Linked DNA regions of Elephas maximus indicus. The protein of the gene in region 1 purifies or fractionates together with the protein of each later gene. This does not show direct contact. Links are inferred from orthologs where the notes say so. Each region holds a gene or a part of one and is shown on either strand. Other genes may lie near its edges. The genes, in order: ENO1, PARK7 and TPI1.

Region 1 (7,832 bases):
TGCCACACTTTTCTCCTGTGGAGCACCTGGTGGATTCAAACCACCAACCTTTCAGTTAGCTGTTGAGCACTTTAACCACTGTGCCACCAGCACCCTTTTACAGCATGGTAGGAGCCCTGGTGGTGCAGTGATTAAAGCACTTGATTGCTAACCAGAAGGTCAGTGGTTTGAACCTACCAGCCACTCCACTGGAGAAAGATGTGGCAGTCTGCCTCCATAAAGATTACAGCCTTGGAAATCCTATGGGGCAGCTCTACTGTGTCCTATAGGGTTGCTATGAGTCGGAACTGACTTGACTTTACAGCAGTGGTTTAAGAAAAAAAAAAAAAAAAAAAAGCCCAGTAAAAATAAGAGCCTCTGGGTTCTCCACCCTTGGTTAAAGGTGATTTCTGGAAAGAAAGTTAAGAGTGCTATATTTGCACTTGCTTGCATTCCCCTAATCTCCTTCCTTATCAAGGGATGAAGATCATTCTATCACAACCACTTTTGCTTATTTGGTCACAGAAAGCTGAGAAGCAAACTAGTGATGGGACCTCTTAGGGACAAGGCCCTACCTTACTTCCCTACCCCACTGACCTAGGAGCCAACCTATGTTCTGTTTTAAATGCCATCCAGGAGTCAAGGACTCCTTGCCTTATAACCTGCTCCCCACCAAGTCAGGAATCACAACCGACTAGTATGTACAGACCACAAGAAAGGTTTTCACAACAGGCTTTTTTTGGTCTAATGCTCTATGAATTTAAGTAGGTTTTAAAGATGGTGCGTGACTAAAGAACCACAGAATCCAAGTGGCACATACCTTTTGCAGTATAAAGATCAACCTCAACAGTGGGATTTCCACGGGAGTCGAAGATCTCTCTGGCGTGAATCTTGAGAATAGACATGGTGAGTTTCTGTAGGGGAAACACAGTTCATATTTTCCATAAACCAGAATGTGTTCATTACTCATTCATTCAAGGGATTGCCTCCGAGGCTTCCTGGACTAGAAGATGGCTGCACTGGACTAAATGCTGCAGGTAGGAAGGCTAGGTGAAGTGGAAACAAGTCTGCTGCAAAGTAATGGGAATTGCTCCTAAAAAGGTAGGTTGGCCCCAGCTTTGGAAGGCCCTAAACCAGCAGTTCAGGTCTCGTCCTGTAAGCAGAACAAAGAAGGCCAAAGCATGTGCACACCAGGGAGAAACCAAAACCACCTGTAAAGATGAATGTGGTGGCGGATACAGGACGGCTTAAGAGGAGTCTGAAACTGGTTACTGTCGAGAGTTTACGAGGCTTGGCATGGAAACGGAAAAGGGCCAAGCCCAAACCTAAGGGCAGAGGAAGAAAGGGCATGAAACTCACAAGAAAAACCATCTAGGCCAGGCCCCCCCCCCCCCCACAAGGTAGGGATGCAGGAGGAAAACCAAGCTTATAATGGAATACTGAATTAAAAATTTGGGGCATATTTCATTAAGGTCAGTGTTTGAGGAAGAAGTAGAATATTCAACTGATATCCAGTTACAATTTTGAGTTTGGTGCTCAGGAACGATGAGCTCCTTGGTCCGTGCTCTTTGTTACTGCCACTTTCTGGGCCTTTTGAATTTCCCAGTATTCGCATCTTTAGATAGGACACATTAATAATGACATCTAGTTAGTATTTCTCCCAAAGGGAATTTTACCCCATTTAAAAAACTCAATTCTGAAATGTTATGATTTGTAAATGGAAGAAAGATTGTCTTTGAACACCAGCATACGCCAATGGAAGGGGCTTCCTTTGAAAACGCACCTAAAAAAGAAAAGGAATCACAGCTACCAAGAGCAAATAGCAAGTCCTCCCAAAAGCCCCTTTCTTACTTCCCCCCCCCAGGAGTTCTCTAAGGAAGAAACTAACTCAACCTGAAGTGAAGTGGATGAGAAGAAATGAATTATTATTCAAAAACCGTTATCTAGCTGGGTTTCCCTCTAACATCTTCTCTGGAATGTTCTGAAGTAGCAACTGGCATCCTATCTTTTTAATCTACTGTAAGTTTCAAAATTTGATACCCAAGTCACTTCTGTGTAACAATGGAGCTTTATTCACTAGCCAATAAAAAAGTATCTAATTTCTACATACTATCACCCAAAAGGGCAAATTTGTTTAAAATTTGAGGTGCAAATAAAATGTAATACACCTTTACATTTATAGAAAAATCATTCTCCGAAGTAATTAAAGTTCAGCGAGCAGGGAGACAGCAAACCGGCTCGTGATCACTTCTGTCTGGACTGAATCCCGTTATCAGGCGCAAAACAAGTGGACGGGGCAGTGACCTGGAGCAAGTCAACCAACAGACCACACCTCCCAGGAGTCAAGACCAGTGTGGAGGAAACAGGCAGCTTTAAAAAATAAAATAAAAAATAAAATCTTTTTATGCCACACGAGGGCCCCTCCAGGGAGTAAGTCGGGGAGAGGCGCAGGGTACTCGCCTGACTCGGGCGAGGTCGCCTAAGGGCGTCCCCATTATCCACCGGAACTGTTGCAGTTTCCTCAAGAAGCACCTTCTAGAAATTATATAAGCCTTTGCGGCGATGGCTGGCTGGACACCCAGGCGCCGAGCTGCAGGCCCTGAGGCACTAGTGGGACGCTTGGGCTACTGGTGGGGAGAAGAGGAACTGCAGCTTTCTGGGCATCTCCCCCCGTCCCTTCCTCCATTTTAAAAAGGGTCTGGTTTTAATTATCACCCGCGCAAAGTCTGTATCCCTCCCCAAAAACCTTCCATTTGGCTACTCATAGAGAAGCGCCTTCCACCCACGACGCCAGATATCCTAAATGGTTTGCGTGTTCTAGTCCGGACTCTCCGAGTACAGTTATCTGGCCTTTCACTCCGTAATCACGTGCTGATCAGCATCTTCCCCTACAAAGAAACCTGGCGCCCTACACGTGCGCCTAGCGCCGCACCCGCGCCCCTGGGCCGCAGGAAGGGCACTGGGTCCTGCCAGGGCACACCGCAGGCCTCCGAGCGCATCCGGGAGCGGCCCGAACTCAATCTGCGGAGTGCCCAGACACACTCGCCGGAGAGCGAGGCGGGAAGTCGGCGCGCATGTCCCCATCGGTCCCGTCCGCGCCCGAACCCACCGCACGCCACGTCCCTGCGGGGAGGGAGCTCCCACAAGCTCGGTCGAGGAAAACCCACACGCCACCTGCACGAGCGCTCCCTTGGCAGGAGTCCTTACCTAGCCGCCGGTTCTCGTGGCGCAGGAAGGAAGCGGAGAGTGCTGCAGACACCAAGACGAGCGTTAGGCCAACTGCGTGCGACCTCGCTAACTCCCCGGGATCCTCTGCTCGCCGCCTCGCCCTACTTCCTGCCCGCCTAGGAGGCACCGCCCAGTGCCCGCCTCCGGGGCCGGCCCCGTCCGCGCCGCCTCGCCATTGGCTAAGCGCTCCGCCACTCAGGTCCTCGCCTCCCGGGAAGGGGCGGGGCTGCGGCTGCCGCACCGATCTCGATCTGGGGGCGATGACTTGGGGTCGCAGGGCTGGGTTAGGGACACTGGGGACCTGACTCCCTAGTGGCTATACGGGGATCCTGGCGAGCCCCGCTCCCCGTGGGGACCCCTGAGGAGAACAGGGACCTGGGGAGCCGGGGCCTGGGAGGGGCAGGGTGGCGCGGCGGGCATGAGGGCTCGGGGCGCCGGCACGTACTCCGAGTCTCGCACGCACTCGGCGTAGCTCCTGCTCCGGGCCGCACGTTTGGCTACGACCTTGGTGACGACCTTCGCGGCGCACCCTTTCCCGGCCTGCCTCCCGGGCCTCCCCCGCCCCGGAACTCGGTGCCCGGGAGTTGAAGCGTTGAGCGACCGCGCGGGGCGCACGACCCCCACGACCTGGACCTGACCGCGGCGAAGTCTGCCACGTTGAGTCCAGGAGGCCACGTGTGCCTGCCTGCGCCAGCGCGCAGTGCGCTGTGCGCGTGCCCAACGAGGTCAGGCACCCGCGTGTCAAGCCCAAGGTGACCCTGCCCCATTCACCTTGCCACGCCGGCTTGACATTGAGGATCAGGCAAGGTAGCTGAAAGGAAGGTTCGTCTTCCATAAATTATAGCCAATACTTAACCAAGTATTCTTACTCTGTGCCAGGCACATCTCCACATGCTTCCCCAGTGTTAATTCATACACTAGTGCCTGTTACTATTTCACCTTTAACTGGAGACTTCGTATCCCTCCCTTTCCATTATCTATGGAATTCGAGGGATTCGTGCGAACTATAAATGTAATGATTTGGGAGAGGAATTTCTTAAAGTACAGAACAGTAAGCAATATTCCACAGTGGTCCAGCAAATAAGAAACAATTGGTAGGTGCAGTGACTTTGCCATTGTGATCAAGATCTGATAGACCATTAAGAAGTCAGCTCTGCAACACATCCCCCACCCCAAGGAGGGGCTGAGTGGTCACTTCGTGTTCTAATACAGTTATTTTTGTATTTTCTCCATGGCCCTCCTGGTTTGTGAGTGTGAGGTCTTAAACAATGTAATAGATTTCCATATTTCCCATATTGCCTTGCATAGAAAGATTCAAATGTGTATTGAATTTAGTATTTCTTCTGATTAGCTCTTAAAACTGCTTTTCGTCCTTAACTCCTAGCATCTTTCTTGTCAAGCTTAGGTTTTCAAAGCATTGGAAAGATGAAGGCCTATGGGGTCCACAGTATTTGTTTTCCATTGACTAAGAAACAAAAATTTTAAGATTAAATTCAGCAAAAACACAACATGGAGATTGTAACATGGTTCGCTAAAGAATTATATGAATTTTGCAAGCAATGTTCGTGATTTCACCACTGCCGTTTTTGGCTGCTGGAAACCGGTATCTGAGTCCCATGACTCAGCAGTTACATCACAGCCAACATCTCTCAAGCCTTGTAAGGGCTCCAAGGAAATCAGACATTTAGAGCTCTTATTTTCAGAGTAATTCTAAGGCGTGGCCCTGAAAGGGCTCCAAACAATCCCTTTTACTTTACACCAACGTTGTTAGAGATAAAGATAATCAAGGCCCTCATAACTGCTGGCTGGCCAGAACCAGTGAATCTAGCAGGAAGCCAAATGCAGAACATGATCTGAGTCAGCTGCTGTTGCAAGATTCTTGGAGCCCACAGCTCACCATTATGAGCCAGCACTTGAACCTCAAATTGTAGTTCAAACATTAATGATTATTGGAGATGCCCTTTAAAGTGAGGTTGTTGAGCAATTTTATTGCGTGGCATATCAAGGGCACTCGCCTTGCTGGTGGTGCTCAGGTTACTATCAGCATACCATACCTGAAGCGATGCAGGCCGTCTTGCAGGAGATCTGCAGGTAGCGCTTGGATGGAGGGCAGGTGAATCTGCAGCAGCCTATGACCCACCTGAGGCCCTCAATGGTGCAAATGGTTAAGCACTTGACTGCTAGCAAAAAGGTTGGAGGTTTTTTTTTTTTAATTTTATTGCACTTTAAGTGAAAGCTTACAAATCAAGGTCCGAAAACTTACAGCCTTGAAGACCTTGTGGAACAGTGGTGTTACCCAGTACAGTAACTCATGGTGTCGCCCCCAACCCCCGTGGACCTCAGTTTTAATCATAAGATAATATGTGATAAATATAGTTTGTAAAGTGCTTAATTATAAAATTTCTTAGATTATGTGAGTACTAACAACAAAATTATTTTGTAGCCTTTCTACATCGAATTAAAACATTATTAGTGATAACATTATTAGTAACTGAAAGGAAGCCTTTTTTTCTTTTTAATTACTTCATTGTCAAAAAAGTTATAGATATAGATTCACAAATAATACCACAATATTGTAGCTAAAACACCGGCAAATTTGACAAAATCAACAACTGTAAAAACACTGGCAGCAAAGAAAACAACATTGCGTGCTCGTAGCTGGCAAAATCACATCATTCGAGGTGTCATTGTAATTGCATAACAGTGACAACCTTGACTGGTGCGCATTAGAAGGTTCAAAAAGTAAATCTGCATAGAGCTTTAGCCTTGTAGGTATATTGATAGATGTAGGGTTGCTATGAGTTGGAATCGACTTGATGGCAGTGGGAGTGGGTTAAGCTGGTCTTATGAAAAATGCTTTTGTTACAACTAACTACAGGATTTTTTAAAAAATAAAAATAAATTTCTGCTGAAACACTGCACAAAAATTTTATAGGCAAGTCATTTTGGTGTCACCCCCTCTGAAAGTGTCACCAGTGTGGTCTGTACCCCCTGCACCCTAGTGATGCCACCAAGTTGGAGTCAACTCCACTGCAGCTAACAACAAGGACCCATCTGGATTATTGATTCCATCTGTGGTATGTGCACCACTGGTTGGAAAACGCTGGTTTATGGAGAAAGGGACATACTGTTTCTGAAAGCAGCTCTCCAAACTTCAGAGTAGGATGAGGGGTCCAGGGAGGTAAGAGATCAGATACATACAGAAGGCCCTCAGAGGCATCTATGTCCCTCCTCATAATAGGCCATGAGGTTTTCATGTTTGTTTTTTTATCATTAAATATTTTATATATACCAAAGACTATGTAAGGATTATATGTTTTGTTGTGAGTTGCCATTGAGTCCATTCCGACTCATGGATAATAAATGAATGTCTGTGGACACACCACTAGCTTCAGAAATGGAACATTAGCAGTGCTGTTAAGGCCCCCTGTGTATCCCTCTTGATAACCACTAACCTAAGTTTTGTGTTTATTATTCCCTTGCTTTTCTTTATGGCTTTTTTTTTTAATCGTTTTTTGAACTTTATATAAATGGCATCACACTGCGTATAGTCTTTTGCTAGTTATTTTGCTTAACTTGATGTTTGTGGGATCAGTCCATGTTGACCCCATAGGTGTGGAAGTGTAGGTGGTTCTTTGTCAGTACTGCATAGCAGTCCATTGTGTGAATATTACATATTCTCCTGTCAACATATATTTGGGTTGTATCCACTTTTTTTTCTCCCTTTATAATGTGAATAATGCTGCTACGAACTTGGTTGCAAATGTGTCCTGAGCACAGATGCAAGTGTTTTTCTAGGGCCTATGCTTTGGATATGTTATCAGGAGGGATCAGTCCCTGGAGAAAGACATCATGCTTGGTAAAGTAGAGGCTCAGTAAAAAACAGGAAAACCCTTGACAAGATGGATTGACACAGTGGCTCCAACAATGGGCTCAAGCATAGATAGCAACAATTGTGAGGATGGCATAGGACCAGGCAGTGTTTTGTTCTGTTTTGTGTGGGGTCACTATCAGTCAGAACCAACCCAATGGTATCTAACAACAAAAACAACAATGCCTAGATGTGGAACTGCTGGGTCATAGGGTATACGCTTCTTCACCTTTATTTTCTAAAGTGTTTGTATATCTGTGTAGTCCAACCAGCAGCATATGAGTTCTGACCCAGTTTGAAAACAAAATATCAAATTCAGCTCTTTCCTTGCAGTTTTTTTTCTACAGATTAAGCCCCCTCCGATTATCAATTTACCACCCTTTCTGAGTCCTTCACTTAAAAAAAAAAAAAAAAAAAACTTATTTTTTCTCTCTGTAAATCCTAGTCAACACTCTACTATGGCTTTGGGGCACCTCTTAGGACTTCCTACTATCAACAGCCCACTCTTGTGCCTTCTTCAAAGATGACAAAGTCAGCTGTAGGAAGCAGGGTTTGGGCAAGGCTACCCTAGAAACACAGCATACATTCAGGGAGACAGGTGGGAGGACGCGGTATAGTTTTTAAACAAAGTCATGTGAGGTCGGCATTTGTCAGGTGTGCACAAATGAAGAGATTAAGGAGGACAGAGTCAAGAGGACCCGGGGATTGAGAAAGCAAGGAGCAGACACCCACGGAGCAGAGTTCCCCTTGGAGG
Region 2 (8,715 bases), about 1.0 Mb from region 1:
ATATCCCTGGTTCCATGTCCTCTTCTGAATCTGGCCTGAATTTCTGGCAGTTCCCTGTCAATATACTGCTGCAACTGCTTTTGAATGATCTTCAGCAAAATTTTGCTTACACGTGATATTAATGATATCGTTCGATAATTTCCATATTTGGTTGGCTCTCCTTTCTTGGGAATAGGCATAAATATGGATCTCTTCTAGTCGGTTAGCCAGGCAGCTGCCTTCAAAATTTCTTGGCATAGACAAGTGAGTGCTTCCAGCTCTGCATCTGTTTGTTGAAAAGTCTCAATTGATATTCGTTCTATTCCTGGTACCTTCTTTTTTGCCAGTGCCTTCAGTGCAGCTTGGACTTATTCCTTCAGTACCATTGGTTCCTGATCATATGCTACCTCTTGGAATGGTTGAATATTGACTAATTCTTTTTGGTATAATGACTCTATTCCTTCCATCTTCTTTTGATGCTTCCTGTGTCATTTAATATTTTCCCCATAGAATCCTTCACTATTGCAACTCTAGCCTTGAATTTTTTCTTCAGTTCTTTCAGCTTGAGAAATGCAGAGCGTGTTCTTCCCTTTTGGGTTTCAATCTCCAGCTCTTATTTTTTGGTAAATGGTTTACTTTTTTGGCTTTGTTCTGTAACAATTTGACGAGAAACCTGCATGAACTATAAAGTTGAGAGTGTCATGAGTGTTGATGACTCATTAAGTAGTCCTCTCGGAGTATATGGGGGGTACCATGTGCAAGTTGACATCAGAATACCCGCATTTGCCCAAGCTCGGCAGGATCGTATATAATCATTTCTCTCCTCTGGACCTCAGTCTGCATCTGTGAAATTAAAACTGTGATAACATCTGCCAGGAAGCCAATATACAATGTCTAAATCTGGTAAATGAGAAATAATATTATTAGCATATTGTTAAGGATGATGACATAATTACCAGAAGAAATAGCTGAAAGTATTTACTTCTGAGCAGCAGAGCTGAGGGGTAGGAAGGTCTGAGTCAGAGGAATACTGTTTTTAAATATAAGGCTTTTAATACTGTATTGGTTAGCTATTGCTGTGTAACAAAACCTGAGTGTACAGTCTTCAGGTTTGTCTTGTACTGTTGGCTGGGCCAGCTCTGTTCCATGTGAGTTCACTCTGAAACCCAGTTTGAGAGGTGAGCAGCAACTTCCCTGGGGGGAAGCTCTTCCTATGGCAATACAAAAGTGCAAGACAGCAAGCCTAAGTATCAGGTTGGGTCAGTAATTTTCAAGCCTTTGTTCAGGTCATATCTGTTAACGTTCCATTGGCCAAAGCAAGGCCAAACCCAAAGTCAAGGGGCAGGAAGTACACTGGACCCATGCAGGTGGAAGGGGAAAAAGCGACTATTTCTGTAAAATAATCCAATCTATCATAGGTAGTATCTGAGTTTTTAAAACTATGTGCATTGTATTAATTTGATAAAAATTAATGCTGATTCAGGTCCAGCCCCCCTGGCCAGCTAACTGGAAGAGATCCATACTGGTGCCGATTCCAAAGAATGATGATCCAACAGAATGTGGAAATTATTGAACAATATCATTAATATTACACACAAGTAAGATTTTGCTGACAATAATTCAGAAAGAGTTGTGGCAGTATATCGACAAGGAACTGCCAGAAATTCAAACTGGATTCAGATGGATCTTGGCTGAAAGCAAAGAATACCAGAAAGATGTTTACCTGTTGTTTTATTGACTATGCAAAGGCATTTGACTGTGTGGACCATAACAAATTATGGATAACACTGAGAAGAATGGGAATTCCAGAACACTTAATTGTGCTCATGAGGAACCTGTACATGGATCAAGAGGCAATCTTTAGAACAGAACAAAGGACCCTTTGTGGTTTAAAATCAGGAAAGGTATGTGTCAGGGTGGTCTCCTCTCACCATACTTATTCAGTCTGTATGCTGAGCAAATAATCTGAGAAGCTGGACTATATGAAGAAGAACACGGCATCAGGATTGGAGGAAGACTTATGTACAGCCTGCAATATGCAGATGATACAACCTTGCTTGCTCAAAGTGAAAAGGACTTGAAGCACTTACTAATGAAGATCAGAGACTACAGTTTTCAATATGGATTACACCTGAACATAAAGAAAACAAAAATCCTCACAATTGGGCCAGTAAGCAACATCATGATAAATGGAGAAGAGACTGAAGTTCTCAATGATTTCATTTTACTTGGATCCACAGTAAATGCCCATGGAAGCAGCAGTCAAGAAATCAAATGACGTATTGCATTGAGCAAATCTGCTGCAAAGGACCTCTTTATTAAAAAAAAAAAAAGGGCAAAAATGTCATTTGGAGGACTAAAGTGTGCCGGACTCAAGCCATGGTATTTTCAATTGCCTCATATGCATTGAGAGTTGGACGGTGAACAAGGAAGACCGAAGAAGAATTGATGCCTTTGAATTATGGTGTTGACAAAGATATTGCATATACCATGAACTGCTAGAAGAACAAACAAATCTGTTTTGGAAGAAGTACAGCAGGAATGCTCATTAAAAGTGAGGATGGTGAGACTTTGTCTCAAATACTTTGGACATGTTATCAGGAGAGCCCAGTCCCTGGAGAAAGACATCATGCTTGGTAGAGGGTCAGTGAAAAAGAGGAAGAACATCAATGAGATGGATTGACACAGTGGCTGCAACAATGGGCTTAAACATAGCAATGACTGTGAGGAGGGCTCAGACCGGGCAGTGGTCATTCTGCTCTACATGAGGTCACTGTCAGTCAGAGCTGATTTGAAAGCACCTAACAACAACAAACAGGTCCATTTTAGATCTTGATGGTGATGCAGATGCTTCAGCAGTGTTAACTCTGTCTCTGCCAATCCATCTGTTTTGCCATTTTTACTCTGTCATGGCTGTCTCCTGCTGCAGCATGCCATGAGCATGGTTGTCTCCTTGCCAGACTTCACTATGAGGACAGGATCAAAACAGTCTGTTTTCTTTGGTTTTCCTTCCATCTACTGAACTTCCTCCTTGGTTCTTCAAGCACACATCTGACCACTTGCCTCCCCTCCCTCTCTGTCTCTATTTTAGAAGCTCCTTCAAAGCTGAAAGAGGGTGGCTTTTGCCTGCTTCCTTTGCCAAATATGAAGTCATTCCAGAACTCCCCAAACAATATTTTCTTAAAATGTCAAATAATGATTTAAAGACATTCAATTTTTTTTGCAGTGCAGAGTGCTGCATAAATGAATCGATTTACATTTAATTTAAATAAAAAAGCCCTCCCCACGATTATAAGGATCACATGAAATATATGAAAGTGCTTTGTAAAGTAACAAAGGAAAGAAAGTTATTTCTTGAAAATAAACATTTTTAAAAATCTAAATTGAAACTTAGAAAACACTGACATATTTAAAATTTTGTTTGATCTCATAGATTGCTGGTGGGAATGTTAAGTGTTTCAACTTCTGTGGAGTTGCTCAAATGCATTTCCCATTTCTGGGAATTTACCCTCCACTTATACCTGCATGAGTAGGATCTATGTGTAAGGTTATTCAATGCTGCATTGTCCCTACAGATAACGACTGGAAATAACCTAAATGTTCATCAGTAAGTAAACTATGGAACATCCCCACAATGGCGTATTATCCATCTGGGAAAAAAAAGGGGGGGGGGATTCTTTTTGTTTTCATGTAGATTTTCAAGAAACATTAAGTGAAAAAATAAGTGCAAGACAGTGTACATAATCTGCTACATTTTATGTGAAAAAGAATAGTCTTTATTTGTATTGCTTGTGCTTATATAAACGCTGGAAGGCTTCTCAGTGAAGTAATAAAGTTGGTTACTGGGTGGGAGGTGGGGTTGGGACTGGATGGGACATGGATGGGAGTGTGTCTTTTCAGTGTAACCCTTATCTTTTGAAACTGCTGAAGTACTAATATTCAGAAACTTTACAAGAATAAAATTTGAGATAATTTAAATTTAACCAATCAAGTACTTGTTAGACTTACATGTGCAGCATTGCTTCTAACCTGTGAATGCAAAAGCAGCATTAGCTTATGTGAACAACTTAAGGAGATAAGCAAATACACACAAAATTGCCGTGTGTAAATAAATTCTGAACAGTCACCTGGGATCACTCAGCCTAAGTGCCTGGGTTGAACAAGGCCTGGTGTTGCAAGGAAAAACATCGCAAAACTTAGTAATACATAAAGGAAGTGTGATTCAGCATGTATTAAAAAAGGCAAAAGTGGGAAGCAGAGAACCTGCCATAGTTAATGTCTGCCCGAATCTGAGGAAATATTATACAATAGACAAAAGTGGGAAAACGGACAAGCATGCTGCTAGCGCCATGTCTGCCCGAGTCCAAGGAACATTACAGAATCATCAGTATATATTAACAGTACGAATGGGCAGAACTATTGAAAGCTTCACCTTTTCACAGATTGGCTAAAAATGTGATCCTAGATTTTGAATCCTCTTAACAGTCATTGGTACAGGTTTCAGTAATGACAGTCAGGGTCTTCATTGGTCCAACAGATTTTCTATTCACTAAATGGTAATCTTTTTTTTTAAACGGTAATAGAAAAAGAGTGGAAAGTTTTTTGTGTTGATCGCTTATGTGAAAGTTTCCCTAAAAGATATTTTCCAAGATTATGTTGTCTTTATACCTCAGGGCCCAGTTGAAGTGTCCTTGTGAGTCCCTGAGTCCACCTCCAGCTGGGTCATATTCTTGTATGCCCAAAGACATGGAATAACTTCAGTATTATTTCCTAAGTCACCGGAAAGACCTTGAAGAACGAGTCCTACTAGATCGGAGGTGAAAGGCGAAGACGTTTCAGGAAACAGGAATGACGCAAAAGGGGATAGAAACGAACACAAGAAACGCCAGGAACAAATCTATCAATACCCATGTTTAAGCTGCAGCGGCTCTAAGAGCTCTGCGTTGTGCCTTTTCGGCTTCAGCAAAAAGCGGGTTAAACCGCGGGAGCCGGCGGACTGTGCCATTCGTGGGAGGGGTTTCGTGTGGATGCGTGAATCTGTAGCACTTTAGGGGTGCTGGGAGTTCCACTTGAAGGAACTGAAATTATCCCTAGACACACAATTCCGAAGCAGAAAAGGACTGACGCACCCCCAATCCGTTCGATGCATCCCTCGGAGGCGGGCTCGCCGGACGTGACGTAACATGACGCGACACGGCGCCGGTATGCGCATTTGTGGGGAGGCCGGGAGAGGCGAGTCTGCGCAGTGCGAAGGGGGCGGGTCCGGGCGGCCCGGTTCCGGTTAGGTCCTCCTGGGTGCACTGCAGGCGTCGCAGCCGAGTGGGCCGAGGATCCCTGTCTGTAGGCGAGGCGCGAGGTCAGGTCGGGCTGGGGAAGAGCGAGGCGCGTGCGCACGGGTCGCGGGGGCCCTGGGTGTGTCGAGCCTTAGCTGGGTTACACGACTCTGGTGCGGGGGCTTCGGAAGGTAAACGGCCAGGCCTGTGCACTCGGATGAGGTCACTGAACCGTGCGGACCCCGGGCGTAGGTTTGGTTGCGTTTGATAAACATGGCAGTTTAGTCTAAGGAGATTCCGTTATTTTTGAGTGCCAACCGTAGTAGCATCGCTAAAGAAGAGAGCTTCCAAAATGCTGTAACACATTTCTGGCTTGGACCGAGTTAATACTGTATGTTGAAATCGTTTTATTGAAAATCTGTTTTGCTTGGACAGCAAACTCTCCAGAAAAAGGTTAGGCTAAAAATTACGCAGAACTATGTGCAAAGAGGAGTCCTGGTGGTGCAGTGGTTAAGAGCTCGGCTGCTAACCACGAGGTGGGCAGGTCATATCCTCCAGCCGCTCCTTAGAAACCCTATGGCGTAGGTCTACTTTGTCCTATAGGGTCGCTATGAGTCGGAGTCGACTCAATGGCAAGGGTTTTTTTTTTTTTTTTTAATGTGCAAAGAGAGATAATATAGCTGGATTAAGTTTAAGTGAGGGGAATTTCCATCTTTCTCAGTCATAAAAAATACTGCGTTTAACATGATTAAATCCCCCCCCAAAGTTTTTAGTGCAGTTATTGGAACTAAAAAAAAAAAATCCCCTCCAAAAATCTTCCAGGCTCATTACTAAACACTGAGAATTTAATCTTATGCCCATAAAATTAAGGTTATTTGTTTCTCTATGAAAAAGCACTACAAAAAGGCAGATTTCTTTTTATCACTGGCATTGTGTGACATGCAAGACTCATGTACTTGCGTTTTAGAAAAGCTCACTTGCGATGTATTATTAGAAATTGGATTTAAGAAATTATGGTAAAAAGATAGTGGTAAAAGAATATCTAAACAATCCAAACGTGTATTTTGTGACACCCTCTAAGAGAATTAGCAGCTCCACTGTGTTTTTGTCTTAGAAATCAACAGTTGGACACTACTATATAAACCAATATTATCCTAAAATGCTCGATTTTAGATGTGTTTGTTAGACCCTTTACCCTAGGAGGTACTTATTTACTGTTTGAAAATATTTCTAAGCTTAAACTTTTTGGCTATTCCAGGGGTGCAGTGAAAGTTTTTTTGGGAAATCTATTTTTGTATTAAGTCTTTAAAAAATACAACCTAAAAATGGCTTCAAAAAGAGCTCTGGTCATCCTGGCCAAGGGAGCAGAGGAGATGGAGACCGTCATCCCTGTGGATGTCATGAGACGTGCCGGAGTAAGTCCCCCACTGTGGTCTAATCCTCACCTCCCTTTTTTAAAAATGGTTGGAATTTTAAAAGACATTTTGAGTAATGTAGTATGCAAAGTCCTTTTTGAAATATTTTACACCTACACAGAAATACATAATAAATACCCATTTATCAAACTATATGTGATCAAATTTACAGCAGCAACTCAAAAGGATAGATGAGAAGCTTAGGAGGGCAATGAGTTTGTGTTAACAGTGGTGAAATAGTTTGGAAAATGTTGTTGAGAAAGATGGCACAACTTGAAGAATGTAACCAGTGTCACTGAATTGTACATGTAGGAATTGTTGAAGCGGTGTATGTTTTGTTGTGTATGTTTTCACCAAAAACCCACATTTACCCACTGCCTATGTTTAATATTTGTTGACATTATGCCCTATTTCAGACCCATTTCTTAAGGAACAAATGCTTTAAAGCAATGAACTTGAAGCCCCTTTGTTCTTTTCCCAATCCTGTTCTCCTTCTTTGTCCCCAGAGGTAAACGACTGCTATCCTCAAGTTAGTTTGCATCTGTCCCATGCATGTCTTTAAAGTAGCACTAGACTGATAGCTATCATTCTCTGTGTTTATCCATATTGTTACATAAGAATAGAGAACACTTAAATAGTTCTATGTGCCCGGTGTCATTCTGAGCACTTATATAAACTTGTTTAAACTTTCCAACAACCCTGAATTAGGTATTGCCATCTGATGGCACAGTGGTTAAGAGCTCTGTTGCTAACCAAAAGGTTGACAGCCCAAATCTACCAGCCGCTCCTTGAAAACCCTATGGGGCAATTCCACTCTGTCCCATAGGGTTGCTATCAGTTGGAATCGACCCTACGGCAACAGGTTACCCTCATTTTACAGTTGAGATCGAGGAACAAACACACAAAATAACATTCTTGTGGTCACAGTAAGTAGAAGAGCCAGCATTCAGACCCGGGCAGTGTGGCCACCCCCACGCCCAGTATACTTTTTTGCCTCTCACAAGTGTAGATACATGTTAATCCAGTTTATTCATTTAAAATTGTTGCTTAGTGTTGTCCTATATGAATACTCCACAATGTTACAGTGCTTCTACATATAGTATTACAATACTGTCATAAGTATTCTCTTGCAGGTAGTATATATCTAAAAGTGGAATAGTAGAATTGCTAGACCAAAGATACAGTCAGCATTACTAGATTGTGTCAAGTGCTCTTCAGTGTACAATTTGTCACTTCCCATTTTCTAAATACCAGCTCTTGGTATTGTCTGCTTTTTAATTTTTTGCCAGATACAGTAGTATTTCATTGTTCTAATTTCCATTTCTACCTTATGAAAACACTGTGAGGTTTAAATGGCCACAACAGCCTTGCAAGATGGGTTATTAACAGGATGATCACATAAATTGCCGCCCGAACAGAACACTTCAGGGAGAAAGAACGCTAACTGGATAGGATGCTGGGACAGCAGCTATAATTGGGACTCTACTAGGCAAACCAGGACAGACCTGGTTATTAAATATATTAAGCCAACTAACCAGCTTGAATTCAGAATTGCTGTGTTACAGTATTTCCTGCAAGATTATTTTTAAAGCATATGGGAACTGTAAAATGTTATTGTAAATTTATGTTTCAGTGTTCTAAAATGTCACAGTGACATCTTTCTCTTAGATTAAGGTCACCGTTGCGGGTCTGGCTGGAAATGACCCAGTACAGTGTAGCCGAGATGTTGTCATTTGTCCTGATGCCAGTCTCGAAGATGCAAAAAAAGAGGTTTGTTATCCTTACTTGAAATTATTCCTTAATATGGCTTCTTTATTAGTACTAATTTCTTGAAATGTCTTTAGACTACATCTAAGACTATTGTTATTGCAGGCTTTTTTTTTCTTCTTCTTTTTTTTTTAATTGTGCTTTAAGTGAAAGTTTACAGATCAAGTCAGTCTCTCATATAAAAATTTATATACACCTTGCAGTGCACTCCTAGTTGCTCTCCCCCTAACGAGACAGCATACTCCTCTCCACCCTGTATTCCCCGTGTCCATTTAGCCAGC
Region 3 (8,001 bases), on another chromosome or scaffold:
GGCTGGGGGAAGGTGAGGCTGGGCCCCTACCCCAACATTCCCAACGTTCTGGGGAGCTCAACCATCCCAGAGGCACCCAGAGGGGGTGGAAGGGAGGGAGCTGTTATTCAAGGCTGTGGCAGCCTGGTACACAAGACTTTTTTTGAGTAAAAATAGTAAGAGATATGTTGTTATAGAAACCTGTTCATGGTATTATTTTTTTTACACAAGGGATAAGGTCCTGTGGCTGCCTCAAAAAGCAAAAAGAGAGGAAATTGTATGGACAAGTATAGCAAAGAAGGACAAACCACAAGGCTTAGTGCCAGATGTTTATTTCCCCCACATGTGGGACAGCGATACACACAACACACACAGGCGTTGGAATCATGGGAGAGGGTAGCACCCCTGGCCTCTGAGGGGAGGACAGGGGTCTCTCTCAGACCCTGGCTTCACAGTGTAAGAGGGGAAGAGAAGTAAGATTTCTCTCTCCTGCCTTCACTGGGGACTGAGGGGACCCATGGGCAAGCTCCACACCTTCCATCTCTCAGCCAATGAGAAGCCACCTTGGTGACATGTTTATTTCCAACCATGACAGTAAGTGGAGAAGTGATTGGCCTGGTCCCAGCCATTACAGGGGAAGGTGTAAACAGTAAAGGAAGGTACACTTTGGATTAGGCCATGAGACGGGGCAGGTGACACTATCAGAAGCATGTAGGGGGAGGGGGTTGTTGGGCTTCTGGGCTGCCTAGTCCCTGGCTCAGCGGGAAGGGGTAGGGGAGATGGATGGGGTTTATTGTTTGGCATTGATGATGTCCACGAATTCCGGCTTGAGGGACGCACCACCCACCAGGAAGCCATCCACATCAGGCTGGCTTGCCAGCTCCTTGCAGGTGGCCCCGGTCACAGAACCTGGGAAGGAGTGAGAGGGACGGATCAAGAGAGAGATGGACATACCCCATCCCCACTCCATGTCTGAGGGCTCCATCTAGTTGTCAGCCCGCCCCACCTCAGGCTGGGGTCAAATCCACTTACCTCCATAAATAATGCGAGTGCTTTGAGCCACCGCATCAGAGACATTAGACTTGAGCCATCCCCGGAGTTTTTCATGCACTTCCTGGGCCTAGAACAAGAGCCAGACTAAGTAAAGCCCTTTCTACTTCCCATTCAAAGGGGAAAAACATTGGGCACCAGTGGAGAGAGGAAGTGTGATCTCTGAACACCAGGGCTTTAATCTCAGCCAGGCCCTGGAATGGGTGACCTTGGACCAGTCACTCTTCCGCTTTGGACTTGAGGGTTCCTCATCTTTAACACGAGGGGTACATAGATCAACAGGTAGGACTGGATGATGGCAGGGCTCCTGGGCTAGGTCACCTGTTGGGGTGTTGCAGTCTTGCCAGTACCAATGGCCCACACAGGCTCATAGGCCAAGACGACCTTGCTCCAGTCGGTCACATTATCTGCAGGACAAAGATCACAGATGGAGGGTGGGTGAATGCGAAGGAGCTATCCAGCCACCCTCTCCAGGGTATGAAAAATTATGGTGGCCCACTGCTGCCACCTGGTGGCTATTACAGGAACCCCAGGTGGCAAGGCAACTGTACTGTCGGGGAGGGGCAGAAGTCAGGGAGGATGCAAGACTCTCACCCTCCCCCTTCCTTTCCTGGATCAGCATGGGGATCAAAGTCAGGCTGCAGAGCATCTGACTCCACCCTCTGCAGCCCAGGCTAGGCTCAAAGGTCCCTTCTCCAGAGATACCTGCGATGACCTTGGTTTGTTCGAAAACGACCTTCTCCGTGATGCCAGCTTCCCTCTCATCTAGCTTCTCCCCAATGCAGGCGATTACTCCGAGGCCCTCTGCCAGGGCATGGGCCACTTTCTGCCCAATCAGCTGTAGGAGAACAGGCTTGGTGACACAGCCCTCTTGGAATAAGGCAGCCCGTATTTCCACTCCTGGTTACTAACCTCATCTGACTCTCCAAAGATATGCCTTCTCTCTGAGTGCCCCAGGACTACCCAGGTGGCTCCACAGTCTTTGATCATCCCAGGGCTAAAGGAAGAGAGGAAGCTATGGCTCAGGAGGGAGCCCACCCTGTGGCTTTCCCCTCAAATGAAGAAAGTGAGGGCAGGGTCCCCACACACCTCTCTCCTGCTTGCATCTCACCTGATCTCCCCCGTAAAGGCCCCATTAGTCACTTTGTAGCAGTTCTGTGCAGCCACAGCAATCTTGGGATCTAGCTTCTGCCGGGCAAAGTCGATGTAGGCAGTAGGGGGTGCACAGACTACCTCTGTGGATGAGATGGAGGCACATGGGGATGAGATCACCAAAAACCTGCGTTCTCCAGACTTCCCATCCAGTGCTCCAAAGCACTCAGCCTTCATTCTCTTCCTTAGTTCTGCTTTCCCCCTTTTTCACCCCAGCAAGATGACCTCTGTCCACTCCCCAGCCTAGGCTGGACCTGCACCCAGCTCCTAAAGCCTTCCGGGTGCCCCTGAAAGGCCATGACCCTAGCCCTGCCCTTTGCTCCTTTAATAGCTGTGGCTCCGGTTTCCCTGGGACTATTCTGGGCATGGGCACCTCCCGGACTCAGCATTCTCTGGGGGCCAACTCCGCCTTTCTTCTAAAATAGCCCATCCCCACCTCCCCCAGCAAGGCAAGGATTTTTAGCGAAGGAGAAGGGGCCAATTCCTGGGGTTCGTATTGGGGGTCTTTAGAAAATACACCAGAAGGGAATACCGCTTTTGATCAGGCACGTGGTTCTGTGATTTAGGGGGGTGGCAGGCAGCTGACTAGCTCATAAAGGCCTTGCGCTTTTCCCTTTCCACGTTGGGGAATGCCGCAGGATCGCTCCTCACTCCCAAATGTCTCAGTCTGTTTGGCACCTGCTCAGCTCTGCCGTGGAAGGCAGGAGCAGCTCAGGCTGCCGAAGTGAAAGGATCGGAACGGGTGGCTCCGGAACCCAAAGCAGCTTGGCGGCGGGAAGGCCGGCGCGCCCAGCCAGGCGTGGGGAGGAGTCTTGGGCTACGTGCGGCCGCGCACGGAGCCGGAGCCCAGAGGCAGGTAGCCGGGAGCCCGCACGCACGCTCGGCCTCCTCACCCGTACAGGTCGCCAGCCTCTGCCGGTCGCCCTCGGGGGCTCGGGCTACGCTTCTACCCCACGCTCCTGGCTGGTGCAGCCCTAGTCGGCGCCCTGGGGCCATCTTCCTCCCGGTGACCTAAATCCTTTCCCGCCCCAGAGTCTGAGGGCACCATTAAATGGAGCCCCGCCTTTCCCCTTCGACACACCCCCGCGAATGCTGCTGCGAGGCCACCACGATGTAGGATCGATGCCCTGACACTCAACGGCCCTTATACCCCGGCCGGGCATCCAGGTCCGCTCGGACACCCGTCTCAGGGAGCTCGAGCGAGGGCAGTGCCACGCCCGTCCCCCCTTCCCGGCCCCGGCCTCTCCCTGGTGAGGGCCTACCAGTATCGGCCGGCACCTTGGCCGCGTTCAGAGTGGTGATGAGTTCCCCCAGGCCCTTCTTTCGCCCGTTCATCTTCCAGTTCCCCCCCACGAAGAACTTCCTGGAGGGCGCCATTGCGCTAGAGTCGAGACACTGAAGGTCAGTACCACGGCGCAGCCGCTGCCACTGCCCGCTTATATAGAGCGCGGTGAGGCAGAACCCCGCCTTCTCCTCGTCCTCAGCCATAGTTAGCCCGGCCCCCTGCCTGGAAGTCCTTCCCCCTGGCCCCTCCTGCCGCCTGCAAGCCCCCGCCCGCCTGCGGGCCGCCCGCTGTTGCAAGGTTCTGACGTTCCCCCTTTCTTGTAGCAACGTTCTAGGAGCGTTGGGGACTTGGTAGCTTTAGTAGCCTCAATTGCCTGGCAATAAAGGAAAGGCAAGAACTGTGAGCCCCTGCGCTCAGGGGCACCCAGACCTCATGACTACAGCTCCCCAGAGGGCCAGAGAAGGCTCTAAATGGAGCTGGCTGGCAGGCCAGACCATTCCCACCGCTTAGCCTTAAGCCAAATTGCTCTCTAGGGCTGAGCTCTGAGGGGCATGGCTCCAGCTCAGGGAAAGAGTACCCCTTCCCATATCAAAGCTACGTCCCTGGCTGAAGAGTAGGCACCCTTGACCTGCCCAGGGAGATGTGTAGCCCCACAGTTGCTGGGCAAATAAGGTTCAGAGGTGGAAGGACAGCCCACATTAGTCACTCTGCAGCCCAGAGAGGCAGATCAGAAACCTGCAGCCCCTTCTCCGGGATATCCCACTCTTTACTCCAGCTGGTCAAGGCCTCACAAGACACTGAAGGGCCGAGAGCCCAGACTGAGTGCCCCCCAGCCACTAGGGACATTTGGGAAATAGCCACTCAGCCCCTCCTATGACTGCTAGGAGGAAGAAGGGCTCTTCACCCCCACCTTTCCTTGCTCTGTGCTCTGTATTTAGGTCACTCCACTTTCTTGATCTGACAGGCCCAACTAGTGGTCAGCTCCTTTCTGCTCCTGCCTCCACCGCTTTTCTGCTCCAGGGACCACCCCTGATCTGTCCCCCTTTCACACCCAATTTTCCAAGAGTTCTAGGACTAGTGAAAATTAAAGAGAAAATTGCCTATGGAGGAGACAGAGGAAGGGCAAAGGGGCTGGGAGCTTTCTGAAACTGGCCCTCCCACTAGTTCCAGGGAACAGAAGTCCTTCCCAAGGTATCAAACAGGACACAAGTTAGCCATTGTATTTTTATTCACATCGTGTATTTTGGCATTTTCAGAAAGGACGAGGAAAAGACTGAGGCAGGAGGGTGAAGGGAGGTCCCCATTTCCCTCATACCCCTCCTTGCCCAACCACACATAGAGCAAACACAATGGGGGAGAGGAGGCACAGATGCTCCCTCCCCTGGAAGAGGATGCACAAAGCTACACCCACGCACACACACAAATAAGACCCCCCCCTCTGACACACACACACCAGGGGGCTGGGTGAGATTACACAGAGAAGCAGAGCACTGTGGATTCAAGGGGCAGGGGAAGCAACGAAGTCTCTTACAGACAGGCAGCTGGCCCCTCCCTTCCCCTTCCCACTTAATCCCCAAAGTCTATAGAGTGCCCCCTTCCCTTTGTTTGGCCATTCTCCTATGGCCTCCAGCTTCTTCCCTGCTGCTGGGGACAAAAAGAAACAGGGTATAGAGCAGGGGGGCTGAGGCCCATCCCTCAGCCCCTATCCCTCATGCCAGGTGGTTTGTCCCCTGTCCCCAGTGGTGAGGGGTGAGGAGGGGCCTCTTAGCTGGCCACTCTCTGGTAGAAGTAGATGTAGCCCAGGTCCTTGGGTGGCTTCTCAGAGGCACACACTTTCTGGTCATTGTAGATCACCCATCTGGGGAAGGGAAAGAAAAGGATGGACATCCCAATTTGCATCAACTTAATTAATCCCTAAGACACAGCCCTAGAGTTGATTCTGGGGGAAAGGCTCCGAACATTGTCTGCCTGGGTCCCCAAACCTACAGTCCACTCGCTATCTCTCTGAAGGGAGCGTCCCAATTCCACAAGGGTCATTTCTCCTCCTCTGTGTCTTGAGATCCTTCAGTATCTTTACAATCACCCCCTACCCATTCCTGTAGGGGTTGGCAAACTTTTTGGTAAAGGCTAGATAGTAAATATTTTAGGTTTTGCAGGTCATCCAGTCTTACAACAGTGACTCAACTTTCCTGCTGCAGCACGAAAACAGCCATAGACAATACATAATTACTAAGTGTGGCTATATTCCAATAAAACTTTATTTACAAAAGCAGGTGGCTAGGTTCAGCCCTTGGGCTATATATAGTTTGCTGTTCCCTGTTGTAAGGCATTCTTCCAATCTCTGGTGTATTTGTGCCCCTATCGCAAATATACTAAGAATTTCTTCCAGAGTGCCCCTACTCATTCCCACCACCACTTCCCATTCAAAATGCACACTGCCAGCCCCTCACCTGCCCTCCTTCTTGATGTGGCAGACGTAGTGACCACACATGGTAGAGGTGCCCATGTGACTAATGAAGGCAAAGAGCTGATACTCTAGGAAAAAGGAGAGATAAGAGGGCAGAGAAGAAAATGGGCAAGAAATCCTTGAGCACCAGTCCAAAGATTGATCTAGCAGCTCAAAGTGAGGACATGAGTTTCAGGGAATGTGGAACATGTACTGGACCAAAAGGCTATCTCAGCCTCCTAGAATCCCACCCTCAAAAAGTCACATTAATGGAAGGTAGCTTCTGACGCCTCTGACCCTTGAGGAAAGTAGAGCTGCCTTCGAATGAGAGATCTGGAGTAGCGGATTAGCTAGATTCTCTCAGTTCTGTCCTGTTTTCCAGGGACACTCACTTCCAAGACCATCCCGGACTTTAGGTCCCACAGGCACAGACTCAGATATGGAGTCAGCAGCTGAGCGGCCCTCTGAGATGTCCATGGCAGCTTCAGCATCCAGGTCATCGATGTGACTGAAGATCCAGTCCACAGCCCGTTCTAAACTGTTGTTCTTGGAGAGGAAGGAACTGTTACTTTTCTAAACAAGTTCTGGGGCAAGAAAACCACCAGTGAAAGCTCAGCTCCTTCATCAGAGCCACGTAAGGGTGGAGCCCCAGCATTGGCCATACTATTCCCATTGTGCTTGGTCTTAATCGCAAAGGATAGAATTTCATTCCTACCCCTTTCCTCCCCCATAGGCCCCAAGTCCTTAGCTGGGGCAGCCCATACCGTGGCCCGCAAAGCTTTCAGGGCTTGGTCCTGGGAGAAGCCCATGGAGACAATGGTGGTCACACAGTCATCTGGTGGGGGGTCGGCTGCTGCACTTGTGGAACCAGGTCCGCTGGAGCCAGGCAGGATGAGGGGGTTTGCAAAATCTGTCAGGATGTGAAGGGTTGAAGTGTGTTTGGGGGAAGGATGGTGGCCCTGCCCTGTCCTGCTGCCCCACCCTGCCTACCTGGATCATCCATGTGTGACATGACCCAGTTCATGGCAGCCTCAGCCCCACTGTTGCCGGTGTAGTAGACAGCTTTGCGGCAGGCATCCATAGGGAAGCCCATCTCCACCAGCTGGATGATGACCGACTCATCCAACATGGGTGCTGTGGGGAGGGAGGATGGGAATTATGTGAACAGTGACCCAACTCCATGGGGCACCAGCTGCCCCTCCTCCTTTCCACAGTGCACCCGCCAGCCCTTTTCCAACCACCCATTCCATGCATATTCCTCAATTTTATCCTAAAGTGACCCCACAACATAATGTAGGTCCAGTATTCTAAATGCACAGAACTGAGGTTACAGGTTCCATTTATCCCCTTCTCTGTCCATTCTCATGGAATGGCCCTGTTTCTGGAACATGATACTCCCCACCCCCATCCAAAGAGGTAACAGGGTTGAAGCAATTAGCCAGTGCTACTGCCATCCACATGCAGAATGTGGCTGGGAGTGCTCTAGTCAGTCCCCAGGTCCATCAAAAGAGGACGGAGGAAATTTGAAGGGAAGACAGGAGAAACACGAAGGACAGGGTCAGGGGGGAGGCAAGGCAGAGAAGCCCCCCATCAGCATGGAGAAAGACAGGCAGGAAGAGTCACTAACATGTTGGAGAGGAGAAGTGAGGGGAGCAGAAGGAGTCTTCGTCTTCGTTGCCATAGAAACCAAGGCTACCTTTGGGCTCATCCGGAGTGACCAGGGGTGGGGCAATGTCAGGCAGCTCCTCCTCTCCAGGCTGCAGCCCTGTACCCCTCAACTGGGAGATGTCTAGCTCCTCCGGCATCTCAATAGACACATCTGCAATGGGAATGGCAGGAAAGGGGTCGCCTCAGCAGCTCCCTGAGGCCCTCTCTGAAAAATCACTTTCGGGGATCTCAAGCCCTTGCTTCTCATCTTGAAACTGCTCTGTAACAAGGAGCTACTAAGAACAGGACCAATCTTAAAGGAGTCCTAATGTAGTAAAAATAACAGTGAGCCTGGGAGTCAAGACCTGGATTCTAGTCCTAGATCTACCACAATGAGCTACAGACAAGGAATGGGACCTCCAACTTGTACAACTGAGTCCTT

Evidence for each region.
Region 2: the proteins of ENO1 (region 1) and PARK7 fractionate together in Homo sapiens (co-fractionation; 3 studies listed by BioGRID). This does not show direct contact. The link is inferred for Elephas maximus indicus from reciprocal best matches to the Homo sapiens genes ENO1 and PARK7.
Region 3: the proteins of ENO1 (region 1) and TPI1 fractionate together in Homo sapiens (co-fractionation; 4 studies listed by BioGRID, with this or other methods). This does not show direct contact. The link is inferred for Elephas maximus indicus from reciprocal best matches to the Homo sapiens genes ENO1 and TPI1.

Annotation. Positions count from the first base shown.
Region 1 is NC_064821.1:48,284,124-48,291,955, forward strand, and holds the start of ENO1 (alpha-enolase), read right to left. Parts: upstream 3,313-7,832; 5' UTR 3,187-3,312; intron 894-3,186; 5' UTR 885-893; coding exon 800-884; intron 1-799. UniProt on the Homo sapiens protein: Glycolytic enzyme the catalyzes the conversion of 2-phosphoglycerate to phosphoenolpyruvate. In addition to glycolysis, involved in various processes such as growth control, hypoxia tolerance and allergic responses.
Region 2 is NC_064821.1:47,287,138-47,295,852, forward strand, and holds the start of PARK7 (Parkinson disease protein 7), read left to right. Parts: upstream 1-5,228; 5' UTR 5,229-5,335; exon of another isoform or gene 5,336-5,340; intron 5,341-6,510; 5' UTR 6,511-6,577; coding exon 6,578-6,667; intron 6,668-8,335; coding exon 8,336-8,437; intron 8,438-8,715. UniProt on the Homo sapiens protein: Multifunctional protein with controversial molecular function which plays an important role in cell protection against oxidative stress and cell death acting as oxidative stress sensor and redox-sensitive chaperone and protease.
Region 3 is NC_064822.1:63,662,715-63,670,715, reverse strand, and holds TPI1 (triosephosphate isomerase), read right to left. Parts: upstream 3,685-8,001; 5' UTR 3,670-3,684; coding exon 3,444-3,669; intron 2,265-3,443; coding exon 2,141-2,264; intron 2,027-2,140; coding exon 1,942-2,026; intron 1,868-1,941; coding exon 1,735-1,867; intron 1,437-1,734; coding exon 1,351-1,436; intron 1,100-1,350; coding exon 1,012-1,099; intron 889-1,011; coding exon 770-888; 3' UTR 296-769; downstream 1-295. Other genes in the region: USP5 (ubiquitin carboxyl-terminal hydrolase 5), read right to left, coding at 5,231-5,324, 5,917-6,001, 6,305-6,458, 6,677-6,822, 6,903-7,046, 7,540-7,731. UniProt on the Homo sapiens protein: Triosephosphate isomerase is an extremely efficient metabolic enzyme that catalyzes the interconversion between dihydroxyacetone phosphate (DHAP) and D-glyceraldehyde-3-phosphate (G3P) in glycolysis and gluconeogenesis.